Linked DNA regions of Saccharomyces cerevisiae S288C. The gene in region 1 interacts genetically with each later gene. Each region holds a gene or a part of one and is shown on either strand. Other genes may lie near its edges. The genes, in order: SDD3, AAT1, CLU1 and HIT1.

What was found.
Region 2: mutations in SDD3 (region 1) and AAT1 together harm fitness more than expected from each alone (negative genetic interaction), as found in Saccharomyces cerevisiae (one large-scale study listed by BioGRID).
Region 3: mutations in SDD3 (region 1) and CLU1 together harm fitness more than expected from each alone (negative genetic interaction), as found in Saccharomyces cerevisiae (one large-scale study listed by BioGRID).
Region 4: mutations in SDD3 (region 1) and HIT1 together harm fitness more than expected from each alone (negative genetic interaction), as found in Saccharomyces cerevisiae (one large-scale study listed by BioGRID).

Annotation. Positions count from the first base shown.
Region 1 is NC_001147.6:132,219-137,745, reverse strand, and holds SDD3 (Sdd3p), read left to right. Parts: upstream 1-1,907; coding exon 1,908-5,021; downstream 5,022-5,527. Other genes in the region: tryptophan--tRNA ligase WRS1, read left to right, coding at 1-1,219; YOL097W-A (uncharacterized protein), read right to left, coding at 1,341-1,526; serine/threonine protein kinase PKH2, read right to left, coding at 5,264-5,527.
Region 2 is NC_001143.9:235,661-239,444, forward strand, and holds AAT1 (aspartate transaminase AAT1), read left to right. Parts: upstream 1-1,875; coding exon 1,876-3,231; downstream 3,232-3,784. Other genes in the region: SLD2 (Sld2p), read left to right, coding at 1-127; YKL107W (putative short-chain dehydrogenase/reductase), read left to right, coding at 481-1,410; YKL106C-A (uncharacterized protein), read right to left, coding at 1,487-1,606; SEG2 (Seg2p), read right to left, coding at 3,525-3,784. UniProt on the Saccharomyces cerevisiae protein: Plays a key role in amino acid metabolism. Important for metabolite exchange between mitochondria and cytosol.
Region 3 is NC_001145.3:289,537-295,498, forward strand, and holds CLU1 (translation initiation factor 3 subunit CLU1), read left to right. Parts: upstream 1-1,597; coding exon 1,598-5,431; downstream 5,432-5,962. Other genes in the region: hexose transporter HXT2, read left to right, coding at 1-168; SEC59 (dolichol kinase), read right to left, coding at 5,643-5,962. UniProt on the Saccharomyces cerevisiae protein: mRNA-binding protein involved in proper cytoplasmic distribution of mitochondria.
Region 4 is NC_001142.9:537,179-539,803, forward strand, and holds HIT1 (Hit1p), read left to right. Parts: upstream 1-1,593; coding exon 1,594-2,088; downstream 2,089-2,625. Other genes in the region: KCH1 (Kch1p), read left to right, coding at 1-371.

The DNA.
Region 1 (5,527 bases):
TACACCTTGGGATGTGGAAGGTGGGGTTGATGAACAAGGTAGAGCCCAAAATATTGATTACGACAAATTGATCAAACAATTCGGTACTAAGCCGGTCAACGAAGAAACCCTGAAGAGATTCAAGCAAGTGACGGGTCGTGAACCACATCATTTTTTGCGTAAGGGATTGTTTTTCAGTGAGCGTGACTTCACTAAAATATTAGACCTTTACGAACAAGGCAAACCATTTTTCCTATACACTGGTAGAGGTCCTTCGAGCGATTCTATGCACTTGGGTCATATGATCCCTTTTGTCTTCACCAAATGGTTACAGGAAGTGTTTGACGTACCATTAGTCATAGAGTTGACAGATGACGAAAAATTTTTATTCAAACACAAGTTGACCATCAATGACGTTAAGAATTTTGCCCGTGAAAATGCCAAGGATATCATTGCTGTTGGCTTTGATCCAAAGAACACCTTTATCTTTTCTGATTTGCAATACATGGGTGGTGCATTTTACGAAACTGTAGTAAGAGTTTCCAGACAAATTACAGGATCCACTGCAAAGGCTGTTTTCGGGTTTAATGACTCCGACTGTATTGGTAAGTTCCATTTTGCCTCCATTCAAATTGCTACCGCATTCCCAAGCTCATTTCCTAATGTGTTAGGCTTGCCTGATAAGACACCATGTTTGATTCCATGTGCAATTGACCAAGATCCATATTTCAGAGTTTGTAGGGATGTCGCGGATAAATTGAAGTACTCCAAACCTGCTTTGCTTCATTCCAGATTCTTTCCAGCTTTGCAAGGTTCCACGACCAAAATGTCAGCCTCTGATGATACCACTGCCATTTTCATGACCGATACACCAAAGCAAATTCAAAAGAAAATTAACAAGTACGCATTCAGCGGTGGTCAAGTGTCCGCCGACCTACATAGAGAATTAGGTGGTAATCCCGATGTCGATGTTGCATACCAATACTTGTCATTTTTCAAGGATGACGATGTTTTCTTGAAGGAATGCTATGACAAATATAAGTCCGGTGAATTACTATCAGGTGAAATGAAGAAACTGTGTATCGAGACTCTGCAAGAATTCGTTAAGGCGTTCCAGGAACGCAGAGCTCAGGTGGACGAAGAGACCTTGGACAAATTCATGGTCCCACATAAGTTGGTTTGGGGCGAAAAGGAAAGACTTGTCGCACCTAAGCCAAAAACTAAGCAAGAAAAGAAGTAAGTAGTCACGCTTATTCTGACGCTATTATATACAATGATATAGAATCCGAAATTGTAGTTTAACACTAAAAAAATAATGCAATAGAACAATAGTGTTGCGATGTCTCCTGACCTCACTATTTCTATAGATTGGTATGAAAAATTTTTTTTTCAAATATATGGGAAAAATTTTTCACGGCATATAAAAGACTACCATCTTTCTGCATCAGTGTGCCAGACCCATTCTCACACCAAGAAGCGAGGAAGCTAACAGGCCAGTACTTGCAGGTTAGGTTTTCGTGCTCAGATGAGCAGATCATGGACTGCATTGTGCTGTTGTTGCACAGTAAATTTTGTATACCATACTTTATGATGATATTCTTTACGAACTTTTAGACGTTAGACTTCTGAAGGAGATTAGACCCTCCTATGGAAGAGAAACTCGTTAAACTTATCTGAGTAGGTATGTGTATATGCGTCTCTTGTATTATACAAATGTTCTTATTTCTTGTCCTGCATTTTTCCGAGTATTGGTAAATTCATGTAAATTTTTCATCCCATAGATCGTAATTTTGAAGTAGTGGCAAAAGATTTTAACAGAGCGTAAGATATAGTGAGAGAAACTACTCGCTGAAAAGTTGAAAGTGACCCAAAAAACGGCACGAAGACCAATTATACGCACTTTCAACACAGTTCGTCGAATCTTCACAATGGGGTTCAAGAAGCTCGTATCATTCCAACCGGATTATGTCCCACAATACCATATAACTAAATATATCTCGGAACGAACTAAACTGCAACTGGTACATATAAACCACAAAACCTCCCCATTGGTTCACGGTTACTTTGCTGTTCCTACAGAATGTCTTAATGATTCAGGTGCTCCGCATACCTTGGAGCATTTGATCTTCATGGGTTCTAAATCTTACCCATACAAAGGTTTATTAGACACAGCTGGTAATCTGTCTTTGTCTAACACCAATGCTTGGACTGATACCGACCAAACTGTTTATACATTAAGCAGTGCTGGCTGGAAGGGATTCTCAAAGTTGCTACCTGCTTATCTAGATCACATCCTACATCCAACTTTAACAGACGAGGCTTGTTTAACTGAGGTTTATCACATCGACCCGGAAAATTTGGGTGATAAAGGTGTGGTATTTAGTGAAATGGAAGCCATTGAAACTCAGGGCTGGTACATTTCAGGGTTAGAAAAGCAGCGATTAATGTTTCCTGAAGGAAGTGGCTATCGGTCAGAAACTGGTGGGCTAACGAAAAATTTAAGAACCTTAACCAACGACGAAATCAGACAATTTCACAAATCTCTGTATTCTTCTGATAATCTTTGTGTCATTGTTTGTGGTAACGTACCAACAGATGAACTGTTAACCGTCATGGAAGAATGGGATAACAAATTGCCGGAGATTCCATCGAATATACCAAAGAAAAGACCATTTTTGGACAACAAGCTTTCGCACATACCGCAATCTAGAGATAAAGTTACGGAATCTACTGTAGAATTTCCTGAACTTGATGAAAGTCAGGGTGAATTACTCTTTTCTTGGATTGGTGTTCCCTACTCAGATTTTCGTAATGACCTAGCGGTTGATGTGCTATTAGATTACTTTACTGACTCTGCATTGGCAGTGTTTACAAGAGAACTGGTTGAAATTGACGATCCCATGGCAAATTCCACTGATTGTTGCACTGATTATTTCATGAGAACCATAATTGATCTTCGTATCCAAGGTGTCCCAACAGAAAAAATAGCAGCAACAAAGACCAAGGTACTGGAGATTTTGAAAACCCATACCATTGATTTATCAAGAGTTAGACAGGTAGTTGAAAATACTAAATGGGAATATTTGCTGAACTATGAAAAAAATGGCGAGAGTCGTTTTTCTAGTGCTGTGATTACCGACTATATTTATGGTAATGAAGATGGTTCTTCATTAGTGTCTTCTCTCAAGGATTTAAGTGATTTTGATGCTTTATTACAATGGTCCCAAAAGGACTGGCAATCTTTGCTGAACAGAATATTCGTAGACAACAAACCTATCATAGTTACCGCTAAACCAAGCGCTTTGATGTATGAACAACTAGAGAAAGAAAAATCGGATTTGATCAAACAAAGAGAAGCTGAATTTGATGATGAAAAGAAACTGGTTTTATTGAAAAGATTGAACAATGCAAAAAATATTAATGATAGGCCAATTCCGAAATCTCTACTACAGAAATTTGAGATTGATAATCCTTCAAAGAGTGTTGAATTTGTCAACACGAAAAGCATTGCAACTGTCGATTCGTATAAATACAATAATGTTAGTGATCCGCTGACCAAAAAAATTTTAGAAACGAGGCCAGACAATTTTCCTCTTTTCATTCACTTAAATCATTTCCCGTCTCAATTTATAGAGCTGCATTTTTTGGTCAACTCCGCATCTATTAAGGATACCTCGCTTTTACCATATTTTAATATGTTTGACGAGCTATTTTCCATGCCAATGAAAATCCTTGATGAGGAGAGTAATGTAGAAACTATGCTCTCGTTTGAGGAAGTTGTCGCCAAGTTAAAATCAGAAACTATTGACGCACAGATCAACCAAGGTTTGAAGGGTTCTTGTCCTGACCTTATTAATTTTAAAATTCAATGTAGAGCTGGGGGTTACTCTAACTCTGTTCAATGGATCAAGCACTGCCTATTTGACATGGTTTTTGATGAAAATCGTGTTCGTATTCTGCTGGAGAATTATTTGAATTCTATTGTAGAATGGAAAAGAAATGGTAATGTTATGTTAAGTTCTTTAACTAACAGAAATCTCTATTCGGCAAGATCGCTGAAAAAATCCACCGATCCATTATTTGTTGAAGCAAAATTACAAGAGATTTTTGCAGAAATTGAGAATGGCAACTTTGAGAAAGAAATTTTGCCAAGAATAGAAACAATGAGAAAGCAACTGAGAGCAAATTTCAACAAGTTTCATATTTTGGTTCTTGGTGACATCTCAAAGATCGATGACGTTTATGAACCATGGAATCCCTTAATTAAGTGCTTGAACATTGCACATCCAGTTGAGAAGTTAAAAATTCCACCAGTTCCAAGAGCCCTAGATACCATTTCATCGATTTGCAGAACACCTGGTGAAAAGGCCTTTATAATAACTACTCCCGCCTCAGAATCTGCTTATATGAATCTAATAACGTCTATCCCATTTAACTTGGACTACCATGATCCCGAATACGCTATTGTCTCATTGGCTTCCGAATATCTAGAATGTGTTGAAGGTCCATTTTGGAAGGGAATCCGTGGTGCCGGATTGGCCTATGGTGCCAGCATGTTAAAATTATGTGAGATAAATTCTTGGGGATTCAATATTTACCGCGGCGCTGATATTATTAAATGTTATGAAGTTGGAAAACAGATTGTTCAAGATTATGCATCAGGTGCCTTGGAATTTGATGAGCAGTTAATCCAAGGTGCCATCAGTAGTATTATTAACAGGCTGGCTACTATCGAATGCGGATACTTTGAAACAGCCCTGTCCAAATATGTTGATGAATTCTGTTTGCAAAGGGGGAACAACTTCAATGAATTGTATTTGGAAAGGTTGCAGAATGTTACCAAAACAGATCTGAAAAATGCCATGCAGAAATATTTTGTCAACATGTTTGATTCCAATAAAAGCGTTGCCTTTGTGAGCTGTCATCCAGCTAAATTGGAATCAGTTCAAGAATTCTTTGAAACTCAAGGTTTCACTGTCGAAATAGAAGAGCTAGAAGATGACGATGACGAAATTGATAGTGAAGAAGACGAAAATGCGTGAGTACATGACCTCCATTTCAGCTTCACTTTCAACACAGAAACAGTGCGTATTATCTGCATTCAATAAATAGCAAAAGGAGCATTGTCTCATTCTTTTCGAATTCTGGGATTCTGCCTTACGGCGCTCTTTCATTTGATTGATCGAGAATTATTATTATATTTATATGAGTACTTGAAATTCCTCATATATTTATTTTTAGAGTATTTAAGTAGCTTGATGAAAACATTAGATAAAATTACTAATTACGACCTCTTCGATTTTGCAGATGAGTTTTTGAAATTTGTTCCTGTGTTTAGACCTAATCCCACGGTAACTTGTCTTTTTGGCAATCCGTTAACTAATTTACTGGTTAACGGTACTGGAGCAGCGTGTTTTTTTGAATTTTGTTCCTTGGCATTGATAAAGGTTTCAAAAATTCTGCTTGATCTGTTGCTCTTAGCGCTATTAATCGATTCAGAAAACGAATTGTGCTTTGAAATTGATGGAGATTGGCTATGCGTCCTGGG
Region 2 (3,784 bases), on another chromosome or scaffold:
CTCAGAGCAAAAGCCTACGGCTAAGCGAAAGGGTAGAAAGAAGTATAATCTAGTGAGCAATAACTTCAGAAGACTAAAACTGCCAAAGAAAAACCGATTCTCTAATGGACGATGGGGAAGAAGGTGAGCGTGATGGCGTAAATAATACAAACATTTGTAATTTATAGAAACCTATTAAGTATTCAGTTAGATTCCTTCAGCTGCATGACGTATAGTTTATATGGACATCATACGTATTTTTATCAATATAGAGACTAGCATGTTTTTACACTTTTTATTTTTGTTGTTCAATTAGGGGCCTCGTCCATATATGTATATATATTACATAATCTGCAATCATCAATTAGGGGAGGAATAATCGGCAGAGGTATAAATACAAAATTTAAAACAATTCAAGTGAATGAAAAGGTGAACCAACAAACAGAATATTACCACGTATCAAGGAAAAACTAATAATAGTATATTGGCGCATTTAGCAGGATGTTCTGGAAAAAGGATCCCACCGTCAGTTGGGAAAGAAAAAATATCAATGACATTGATTTTAGTCGTTTTAATGTGGCCATAATTGGTGGCACAGGTGGACTTGGACGTGCAATAAGTAGAGAGCTGGCCCAAAGAAATGCCAGGGTTACTGTTGTCGGGCAAACTTTTAGGGACGAGGACCTAAAAGATAAAATTAACTTTGTCAAGGCTGATTTAAGTTTAGTGTCAGAATGCAAGCGTATATCTCATAGTGATGAAATTCCCTACGAGGAGTTAACACATCTGATTTTCACTACGGGTATTTTTGCATCACGCCAGAGACAAGCTACAAGTGAGGGTTTGGAAAAAGACATGGCAGTGAGCTATTTGAGTAGATACATTATCTTCCATGATGTGGCGAAGCGATTAGGAATTAGTAGGACAAAAAAAGACGATTTGCCAAAAGTTTTCATAGCAGGGTTTCCAGGAAATGGTCAGGTGGGAGACCCAGATGACTTGAATTCTGATGAAAAGAAGTATAGTGCCTACGCTACACATATGAACACTGTGGCAGCCAATGAAAGTCTGGTCATAGACGCTAAAGACAGATACACGAATATAGATACTTTCGGTTTGAACCCTGGGCTGATCAAAACGAACATTCGTAATAATCTTCTTGGCAGTGACACCTACCTCAGCCGCATTACAGAATGGATAATCAGCTGGACCTGTCAAAGCGCAGAGACGTATGCGAAAACAATATGCACCCTGATTGCGAGCCCCGCTATCGAATCACGCAGTGGTACAATGTTCAGCAACAAAGGCGATGCTATTTTACCTTCGCCTGGTTTGACCAAAGATGTTGTTGAGAAGTTTATGGAAAATTCGGAACTTCTAGTTGAAAAGGCCTTGCGTAATCAAAGTCCTTTCACTTCCAGTAACGAATGACTTGCTGTAACTAATTGGTTTATATTTAAATATTTCACTTTTTAAAGGGCGTTTGCATGCGACCATCGTCGATGATTCATATTGTTCGGATGCGGAAGATGGCTTCCATGAGTTTTGCACGCCGTCTCATGTGATTGTTGGAGTCATAGCTCGCATATCTTCCTATTGTCAGATGTAATATCGACGGAAATGGCATCTTGGAGTATGGAAGCACTATTCTGCTTTGCTCCAATATTTAGGATGCCGCATTTTTCATATTTTTTTTTACATTTTTCGCTTACGTATATAAATTGCTAGCAAGTATTCGCTCTCTCTGTCTTGGTTATCTAATTGCTAACCGTCGCAATTGAAAAGAAAAAAAAAATACAGAATAGACGATAGCGGATTGAACGATAGCATACTATTGAGTGCGTTTTCCCTTCTCATTTGAAAATTACTATCCGTTTTTCACTGCCGAAAGACTTGATGTTGAGGACGAGGCTTACTAATTGCAGTCTATGGAGGCCCTACTACACGTCATCGCTTAGTAGAGTACCAAGAGCACCTCCAGATAAAGTCTTGGGGTTATCTGAACACTTCAAAAAGGTAAAAAATGTTAACAAAATTGACCTGACCGTAGGAATATATAAAGATGGTTGGGGCAAAGTGACGACGTTTCCCTCCGTTGCAAAAGCTCAAAAATTGATTGAATCTCATTTAGAGTTGAATAAGAATCTTTCATATTTACCAATAACAGGTTCCAAAGAATTTCAGGAAAACGTTATGAAATTTTTGTTCAAGGAATCATGTCCGCAGTTTGGGCCATTTTATTTAGCCCATGATAGAATCAGCTTTGTTCAGACTTTGAGTGGTACAGGCGCCCTAGCTGTAGCAGCTAAATTCTTGGCATTATTTATTTCAAGAGATATTTGGATACCTGACCCATCATGGGCAAATCATAAGAACATTTTTCAGAACAATGGTTTTGAAAATATTTACCGGTATTCCTATTATAAGGACGGTCAGATAGACATCGACGGATGGATTGAGCAATTGAAAACCTTTGCATATAACAACCAGCAAGAAAACAATAAGAACCCACCTTGCATAATCTTGCATGCGTGTTGTCACAACCCTACAGGTCTCGACCCAACTAAAGAGCAATGGGAAAAGATTATAGATACTATATATGAGCTAAAAATGGTACCCATTGTTGATATGGCTTATCAGGGTTTAGAGTCTGGTAACTTACTAAAGGACGCATATTTATTGAGGCTATGTCTCAATGTAAATAAATATCCAAATTGGAGTAACGGTATCTTTCTTTGTCAATCTTTTGCCAAGAACATGGGCCTTTATGGTGAACGAGTTGGTTCCTTAAGCGTTATCACGCCGGCAACTGCGAACAATGGAAAGTTCAACCCTCTACAACAGAAAAACTCATTGCAGCAAAATATTGACTCCCAATTAAAAAAGATTGTCAGAGGTATGTATTCTTCTCCACCAGGATACGGTTCTCGTGTGGTAAATGTAGTATTATCAGATTTCAAATTGAAACAGCAATGGTTCAAGGATGTTGATTTCATGGTTCAGAGATTGCATCACGTCAGACAGGAGATGTTTGACCGTCTAGGGTGGCCGGATCTTGTAAATTTCGCACAACAGCACGGTATGTTTTACTATACAAGGTTTAGTCCAAAGCAAGTCGAAATATTGAGAAACAATTACTTCGTCTATTTAACAGGTGATGGTAGATTGTCGCTTAGCGGAGTCAATGATTCGAACGTTGATTACTTATGTGAATCTCTTGAAGCAGTCTCGAAAATGGACAAACTCGCATAATTTTTTCACCTTACAGTTCACCTTTGTCTTTATTTTTTTATTACTTTTCCCTTCTCATTTTGCCACACAATAATTTATAGAATATAATAATTTTTTGTAATAATTAATAAACCTTTTTTTTATCTACTCTATATACACTTTTCAGATAACTAGATTGGATTAATTCGTGATCGAACTAGTTATTAAATTTTAAATGAAAAGAAAGCTAGCGCTAGCCAACTATTTTAATTACGGTGGCAGTGCATCATATCCTTACATTTCATTTTAGGTTTCCTATGTTTTCTTCTTTCAAATCATTTCCTGCCAAAAATTTTTTTCAGTTTCCTACCGAATTTACTGTGACCGTGACGGTCATGCGACTTATCTTTTATAGCTGCATCATCGTTATGAAGCTTGTGTATCTCTCCATTTTTATCAATGATAGTCACCGGAACGCTTAATGGTAAGGCTGTAGGCAGGTCAGGATTTGATGACTCCAAAGTGGCTGTTCCACCAGATATGTTCCTATTTGACAATTGGCTTTTATTTCCGAATAATGAAAACCGGTGGCCTT
Region 3 (5,962 bases), on another chromosome or scaffold:
TATGTCTTCATGGGCTGTTTGGTATTTTCATTCTTCTACGTGTTTTTCTTTGTCTGTGAAACCAAGGGCTTAACATTAGAGGAAGTTAATGAAATGTATGTTGAAGGTGTCAAACCATGGAAATCTGGTAGCTGGATCTCAAAAGAAAAAAGAGTTTCCGAGGAATAAGAGATTATACTTAAACTAGCACTGATTTTTTTAAGGCTAATGGCTACTAATACTTTAATAGATGATCTTCATACTTTTTTATTTAACGATTTTTAATGATGTTTTTATTTGTACCACTCATTTATCTAGATTTTTTTAATACTGATCAAATCTTACGGACTCGACGTTAAAAAGTTCCTACATACGTCTGGTACTTGAAACGCTGCTTCGAGGTATTGACACTATAAGAATACGATCCAAATACTTACACCGCATGTAAAAATATGCCGACAATATGAATACTTGTTGATGAATGATATTTGATTTTAATCCGGCAATTTACCTCCTTTATATAATCCAATAATTGTTGATAATTAGTGGTTAGGTTGCAGTACTAATAAGAATTAAGACAAATATTCTTCTACTATATAAAAGGTGCAAACAAAACACACGCCGATCGGCCATACTAAACAAGACCAACATAATAATGGTGGAACCATTTACTGTATTTTCAATGTAACGACTCATATCCTTATACATGAGACGTCAAGTTTCTCGTTGAAGTAATAATGAATCTTTAACTTTACTGTGCCACATATCACGTAATCATATATTGTTTTTCGCCTTCAAGCATCAATGGCGTATTGTGGCTGATTACTTCATATGATCACTAATTAACTAATTATGAAAAATAATAAATAAGTCACCAACCAAGCAAGGAAATTAGCTTCAAGTAAACAGTTGGTTCTTTCTGGCGAGTTAGAACAAAATTAAACAATAATCTATCGACTAGCATTCATATCACCAATATATCGTCATATACAGCGAAATGATTGCATTTACTGGATTGAATGGATACACTTTGAAGATGAACCTTTATCATAGTTGAAATGGGATAGCTGAGAAACTTGTGCATGATTTGATGATTGTTTGGGTTCAACCGTTGGGGATAAGGACTATAATATTAGGTACACAGAAATTCCAAATATATAAGTAGCAGTGCTTTATGAAACTATAATGTCAGAGTAGTTATGTAAAAATAGAACAATTGATATGATCGTTTCTTTAATAACTCGATAAGGAGTTCTCTACGAAAAATATCAACAGTGAAATATAATCCGATATAGTGTAACGGCTATCACATCACGCTTTCACCGTGGAGACCGGGGTTCGACTCCCCGTAGCGGAGTTTTCTTTTTGAAGAAATTTGAAAATTTTTTTCTTCACGTCGACCAAGGTTTTTTCCGGTCAAACATGGCCAATAAAACGGATACCATTTCTTGGAAATTATACGCTTCGAAGTATTCTCAAAAAAGGAAATTGTCTGCAGTGAAGATTGGATATAAGGTTCACTAAACACAGAGTAGTAATTGAGCTGTAATTTGTTTACAGAACGAATCAAATCAGCGTAGTGTTACAGTTTATCTGAGACTGCATATCTTTAATCTCTATGAGCGAGAAAAAAGAAGAAGTTAAAAACGCCACCGTTAAGGTGACTGTCAAACTTCCAAAAGAAGATAACCATTCGCATAATACGAAACATCTCAAAAAGACCCAAAGTTCAAAAAATAATGATATATCTTTTGAAATCGGCAAGGAATCCAAAATTCAAACTGTTCTAGATGTGTTGGCTATGATTCCAAGTTCCAAGTACCTGACAAACGTTGGGCTGAAAACAATTGAAGGTGACTCCCAGCTATCTGATGAAATGTCTATAAAGGAAATTGTTGGTGAGAAAAGCGAGTTAAAACTTCAATTGATACTGAAGCCATATAGCGCAAGAGAGGCTTTGAAACATGTGATTACTGTTCGCGATTTCATCGGATTTGCCCAAGAAACCTCAGATGGATTATCTGAATTTGCTATTTCTACTGGTTCAAGCTTTTCCTCGTTACCGTTGGGTCCTATCAAGGAACGCTCAAAACAAGAAGAAAAAGACGAGAAGAGCGATCCAGAAGAAAAGAAAAATACTTTCAAAGATGTGACTGACGAGGAAAAACTAAAATTTAACGAGATGGTTCACGAAGTGTTTTCTAGCTTTAAGAATTCTTCAATTAACAAACTTCTCACCTCTGAATCCAACATCATCACGCCGTGCGTCAGGTCTTTGAGTTTCGCACCTTACAATCCTGTACCTCCATTTTATAGAAGTAAAGGTCATCTATTTTACCTACAAATTGTCACTTTGGAAGGTGAGAGTTTCTATATCACTGCAATTCCATCTGGATTCTATGTCAATAAATCAAACTCAACTAAGTTCGATCCTTCTCCAAAAGAAAACACTGACGAGAACGCGCACTCATCCCTGATCTATTACAGTCTATTTGACTTGATTGCTTCTCGCTCTAAAAAATTCATTTCTCATGTCCAAGCATTCGAGAAAAAACTATCTGCTTTAGATTCTACAAGCTATGTAAGACCAAGCAATACTTTCTTGCATAAACCATGGTTTGTTTCTTCATTGCCACCAAATAACCCAGATTATCTGAGGTTACAAACTGCCGCCTTGGATACCACGCCAGAAAGAAACTTTAATGATGAATTTCAAGCCATTAAAGATTTGACTACGTCAACATTACAAGATCGTATTGAAATGGAAAGGTTGTTTTCTAAAGTTGTACATGAATTTTCTGTTACTGCAGCATCAGGCGCTATGTCAATTTTTTACAGTGATTTCGTTGCAATGAACCCAGAATCTCCAACTCGGGATCAAATTTTCTTAAAAGACAATATCTTTTATTCCTATGTTTCCGACGTTAGTGGCAATTATGAAGGGAAAGGTGGGGATGAAGCTGCAATCGCTGCTTCCAACCAAGACTTGAAGACAATCAATATTTTGAATCGCTTGCATATGCACGAAGTTCGTTATCTTTTAACAACTGTAGTCGAATTTGCAGGCAGAAGAATTTTGGCTCAAACTCCAGTACCTGGACTCTTAGCTACCATGGGTAACAAAATTGTAAAAGATGCTAATACCGGCGAAGAGGTTACCGAAGATTTTGTCAATGATATTAATGTAAAGTACGGCCTTGATGAAGGTTTGGGAAAGATTGTTTATGATGCTGACTTTGATTCTGTTTTAGAAAAAAAGTTTGTCAAGGCATTCCATTTGAAAAAGCACAAAGTCAACGGTACTGAATTAGCATTTTCATCGCAATCCAAGGGAATAGTTGGATTCGATAAGAGGCGCTATATTTTGGATTTAGCCAACACGTATCCCTTGGACATCAACTTTGCTAGACAAAACTTTGACAACATCGAAGAGACTGGAAACCGTTACCCACACAGGCAAACTTTGTTACGTCCGGAGTTAGTAGAAAAGTGGTGGAATAATAAAGTTGAGAAGGAAGGTGTTGAATTTGAAAAGGCCTATGAAGAAAATTTGTTTAGTTATAACCCTGATGCTTACCAGGTCGAAGGTATTGAGGACGCTAATGTTGACGAAATGTCGAACTACTTACAAAAAGAAGTTATTCCCAGCGTTATTCAAGATTATTTATCTGGAAATTTGAGCACTCCTTATAATGGTGAACATTTAGCCGATACTTTACATAAGAATGGTATCAACATGCGTTACTTGGGTAAAATTATCGAGCTTTCTCAAAAGGAATTGGACTCCCAAATTGTCCACTACGAACAAAATTTGAAAGCTGTTGAACAAGACAACAAAGAATATGAGGATTGGGAAAAATCTTATCTGCAAAAAATTGAGAACATGATTAAAGAGAGACAAGCCAAGATTAATAAGCTGGTACAAGAAGGCAAAGAGGTTCCAAAAGAACTAACTGAAGATTTGAAATTAAACGATGAAGAAATCAAAAAGCCCACCGATGGAAAACCTGTGGTCGTTGCCTATGATGAGCTAGTGCCATTAATTAAAATTTCCGAATTAGAAATTGTTTCGCGTTCTTTGAAACATGTTTTAAAAGATTTGAGTAAAGATGTTCCGGTCTTCTTGGTTCCATCACTGGTAGCATACGTTTTCAATATGTTAGTTGGTATCAACTACAATGCTGATCCGAAGCCAGAACCAGTCGACGAATTTTATCCAGTCAATAAGTGCTCATTTGCTAAATTAACACGCTCCGAATTGCTGGAAGCTGTCTCTAAACAAGCCTTCTTGCGTTTCCGTCATCAATTACCATCCAATTGGATCGAAGCTTACATGGAAAATCCTTTCACCCTCATTAGAAGTGTTTCTTACAAATTTGGTATTCAATTGCTCAATAAAGAATACTTCTTTACTAGAGAACAATTGGAAAGTTATAAGCAAAGTCTTGACAAGAAAATTAGGAACAAGTTTGTCGAACCACCAACTACCTTCAGTTTAAGCGATTTGACCATTATTCCACGTGTTAAGTTCTCAGAATATACTTCTTCAGTTAGTGAGGAATTTTGGGCTCAAGGTGCTTCTATGATCAACGAAGACAAACAAAGTGCTTTGACTTTACTCGCTCAATCAATTACAGTCTTAGAAGATGTTAACAATATTTTACATCCCGCCGTTGCTGAAAAGTACTTGTCATTATCTGCCATTTATAATAAGTTAGCATTATACCCTGAAGCTATCGCGTTCTGTCGTAAAGCATGTACTATTTATGAAAGAGTTAGCGGTATTGATTCTTTTGAAATGATGAGGGCTTTAACTAATTTAGCAATTCTAGAATTCTCTAATGAAAGTCCTTATAACGCTACTGTGGTTTATAATAGGCTCGCAGAAATCCTAAAAGTTTATGAGTTACCAAAAATCCATCACCCAGCCCCCACAAGCATTTTCAACCATTTGGAACAATTAGCCCTAGGTGTTCAAGATACCAAATTGGCTATTGAAGTCTTGGGACAACTAAGCTCCTATGTTGTGGAATTAGAAGGCAAAGATTCATTAGCATATGGCTATACCGAGTCACGTTTAGGTAATTTGTTTGCAGCATTGAAGGATTTCCACCGTGCATTAGAGCACATCACTGTAACCCAAGGGATTTTCACCAAGCAATTGGGTATGAATCACACGCACTCAGCCCAATCAAGACAGTGGGTTAATGGTTTAAGCTCATTAATAATGGATTTAAAACAAAAGAAGCAACTTGCACAAGATCAAATGTCGACAACGGGATCAAATTCAGCTGGCCATAAAAAAACCAATCACCGTCAAAAGAAGGATGACGTTAAACCTGAATTGGCTAACAAAAGTGTGGATGAGTTGTTAACATTTATAGAAGGCGATTCTTCCAACTCTAAGAGCAAAAACAAAACCAACAATAAAAAGAAGCATGGTAAGAAATAGAGAGCTAACTTAACAATCTCGTTTATTTATTATTTTTCTTTATATCTATAGCCCATACTTGTATATACTACGTGTAAGTACTAGATATAAAACGAAAAAAAAATACTTACAATTATTTTTTTTTCTTTACTGCTCTATTCTTTTCTTTATTCTATTCATAAATGCAAACAATTAGTTATGTAATTTTAAAAGTTGAAAATAATTGACTTTGTCAAAGAGTAATTAATTTTTCACAAATCATCATAAATGCAGGTATCAAAATATTGTCATTAAGCACACTATTACCTTCTAGCACTCCACTCAGTGTACAAAGGGTAAGCAATTGTAAAGTAGTTAGGTGGTTAAAAATTGCAGCTTTATCAAAACGTAACAATACCAAACAAACGATAAAACTCGTTACTATAAACGCAAGAGTTCCCTCTAAAGTTTTTTGTGTACCTTTCCAACGAATGCGGCCATACCTTTTACCAATAATAGATGCTAAGGAATCACCAATTCCCAATCCTATTAGACCCATTGGAGAGTTATTCA
Region 4 (2,625 bases), on another chromosome or scaffold:
ATGAAAGTAATGATATAAAGAAAGCAAAAATACAAAGCAGAAGCGTAAATACTCCAAAATATGAGGATTTGTCTTCTTCTGACATTTTCAACAAAATACACTCTGCTGGACAATTAAAATCTACAACTTCTATGGAGTTTCACGGGCCATTAGATTCTATGCCAAATACAACAAACAACATCCGTAATTTTAATAGCAACAGTAGTAGACCTAGACCACCTCCTTTACAGACAAAAAGTTCGATTAATTCAAAAGCTGACTCGAATGATAATGGAAGGATTTATACACCAATGAAAGCGTACTTCAGGGAGCCTGATCTTCCGAGGAAGGGTTTGCTGGAAGATGAAGATCGTACATATAATTATACTTAATAGGCTGGCAAAAGCCCTTTGCATATTTCATGAATTAGATAGACGTGATTAGAAACAGCCGTTAGTATGTTTCTGATAAAAATAATACTTTTTTTGTAACACTATTTTCATATATTGGATTGATACCGGTTATAGCACAAACATAACAGCCATGAAAGTTTCTTTGAAAACCCCTTTTAACATTTGCTTGTAAGAGATAGGTTAATTTTTTATAGTTGCTGAGATTCCATTGTTGGTAAAGACTTAATATTAGGTATACAGAATATACTAGGAGTTCTCTCTGGGTATGTAGGAATCCACAAAAGGGTGTCACTAGTTCAACATAATAACATCTTTTTTTTATTCCTTCTTTGATATTTTGTCATATTATCCTATTATTTTATCAATCCTTGCATTTCAGCTTCCAATAGATTTGATATTTGTTTCTCAATATTATGTCATCTTCATACACAGTATGTGATAATATACTAGTAACATGAATACTACTAAATGAGTACTACCTTAGGGGTTCATTACAGCAGCTTAAGCGAAAGTAGAAAATGAGGCGGATATTTGTTGGAATAAAAATCAACTATCATCTACTAACTAGTATTTACGTTACTAGTATATTATCATATACGGTGTTAGAAGATGACGCAAATGATGAGAAATAGTCATCTAAATTAGTGGAAGCTGAAACGCAAGGATTGATAATGTAATAGGATCAATGAATATTAACATATAAAATGATGATAATAATATTTATAGAATTGTGTAGAATTGCAGATTCCCTTTTATGGATTCCTAAATCCTCGAGGAGAACTTCTAGTATATCTACATACCTAATATTATTGCCTTATTAAAAATGGAATCCCAACAATTACATCAAAATCCACATTCTCTACAATATTGATTTCCATCGTGTAAGTTTTCTGCACGAAGTTTATTCATTCAATTTGAAGTGCTTCGTAATAATATTACTATGCAACTTAGGTACCTCATATTTCTTAGAGTTCAACCAAGTTGGTTCCGTTGGCGTAATGGTAACGCGTCTCCCTCCTAAGGAGAAGACTGCGGGTTCGAGTCCCGTACGGAACGTTGATTATTTTTTTTTTTTCGTTTCTTTATAGAAAAAATTCAGACGATATTACCTTGCGATGAGATAATCTTACCGCAGAAAGAGTGCCACAGTGGTAATAACTAGTTGAAGGTTCATATTATATAAAAAACTCTAAGAATAAAAATGGTATCTAGTGCAGTTAAATGTGGCATATGTCGCGGAGTTGATGGTAAATATAAATGTCCTAAATGTGGCGTACGATATTGCTCCTTGAAATGCTATAAAGATGCTGCAAAGCATGTTCATAAGGAAAGCGAACAACCCAGGGCTGGTACAGAAGCTAATGTGGAAGTTGTTAATAACGATAAGATCATAAACAGTTCACTCGCAATGAATAAAACATTAAAGACGAAGGCATTCGATGATATATATCAAAATAGCGCAGAATTGCAAGAGCTGTTGAAATACAACACGGTGAAGTTCCATTTGGCAAAGGTTTATAGAATTTTGTCCAGTACTGTTAACGATGGAAGTTCTGGAAAAATGAACAGCGATCTACAAAAAGAACTAGCTGTAAATTATTTGAATACATTACGATATGGTGGTATACATTATAATGAAGCAATTGAGGAATTTTGCCAGATTTTATTAGATAAATTAAATGCGGTGAAGAAATAAGAATTATCGTTGTTAGCATGATTTTTAAGATTGAGCATTTTATTCATTTTTAACCATATAATAGTGAAGGTGAGGACTAATAACAAAGTACTTGTTGAAAGGGTCGGGTTGCTTTTAGGTTTTTTCTTCTCGTTAAGGATTTCCCACTTGTCTGGCAAGGCGTCAAGCAGACTTGGAAAATAATGATATTATGTCAGAATTTTTGTGTGAGGCGCTTCTATTGCAAGTTTGTGACACCTTATAATAAAAGTGAACCATGTATTTACATATGATTAGGGAAAGTTCCACCATCATCTTATGATCTTCATGGCCGTTTTGGTCTTCTTTTTAACTTGAAGTCCAACTTGGCGACTGTACATATATACATATATATAGCAATAAGTATAACAAGGCAACAAATCAGGTCCCATTATTTAATTTGAAGTCATCTACTGCCCCATAAGAACCTCTATATTATCAGTAGATTCTTTCTTTTAGGGAAATCGAACCTCGATATTGTAAGAGAAACCCGCGCCACTCCTAAAAAGGTATTTTGAA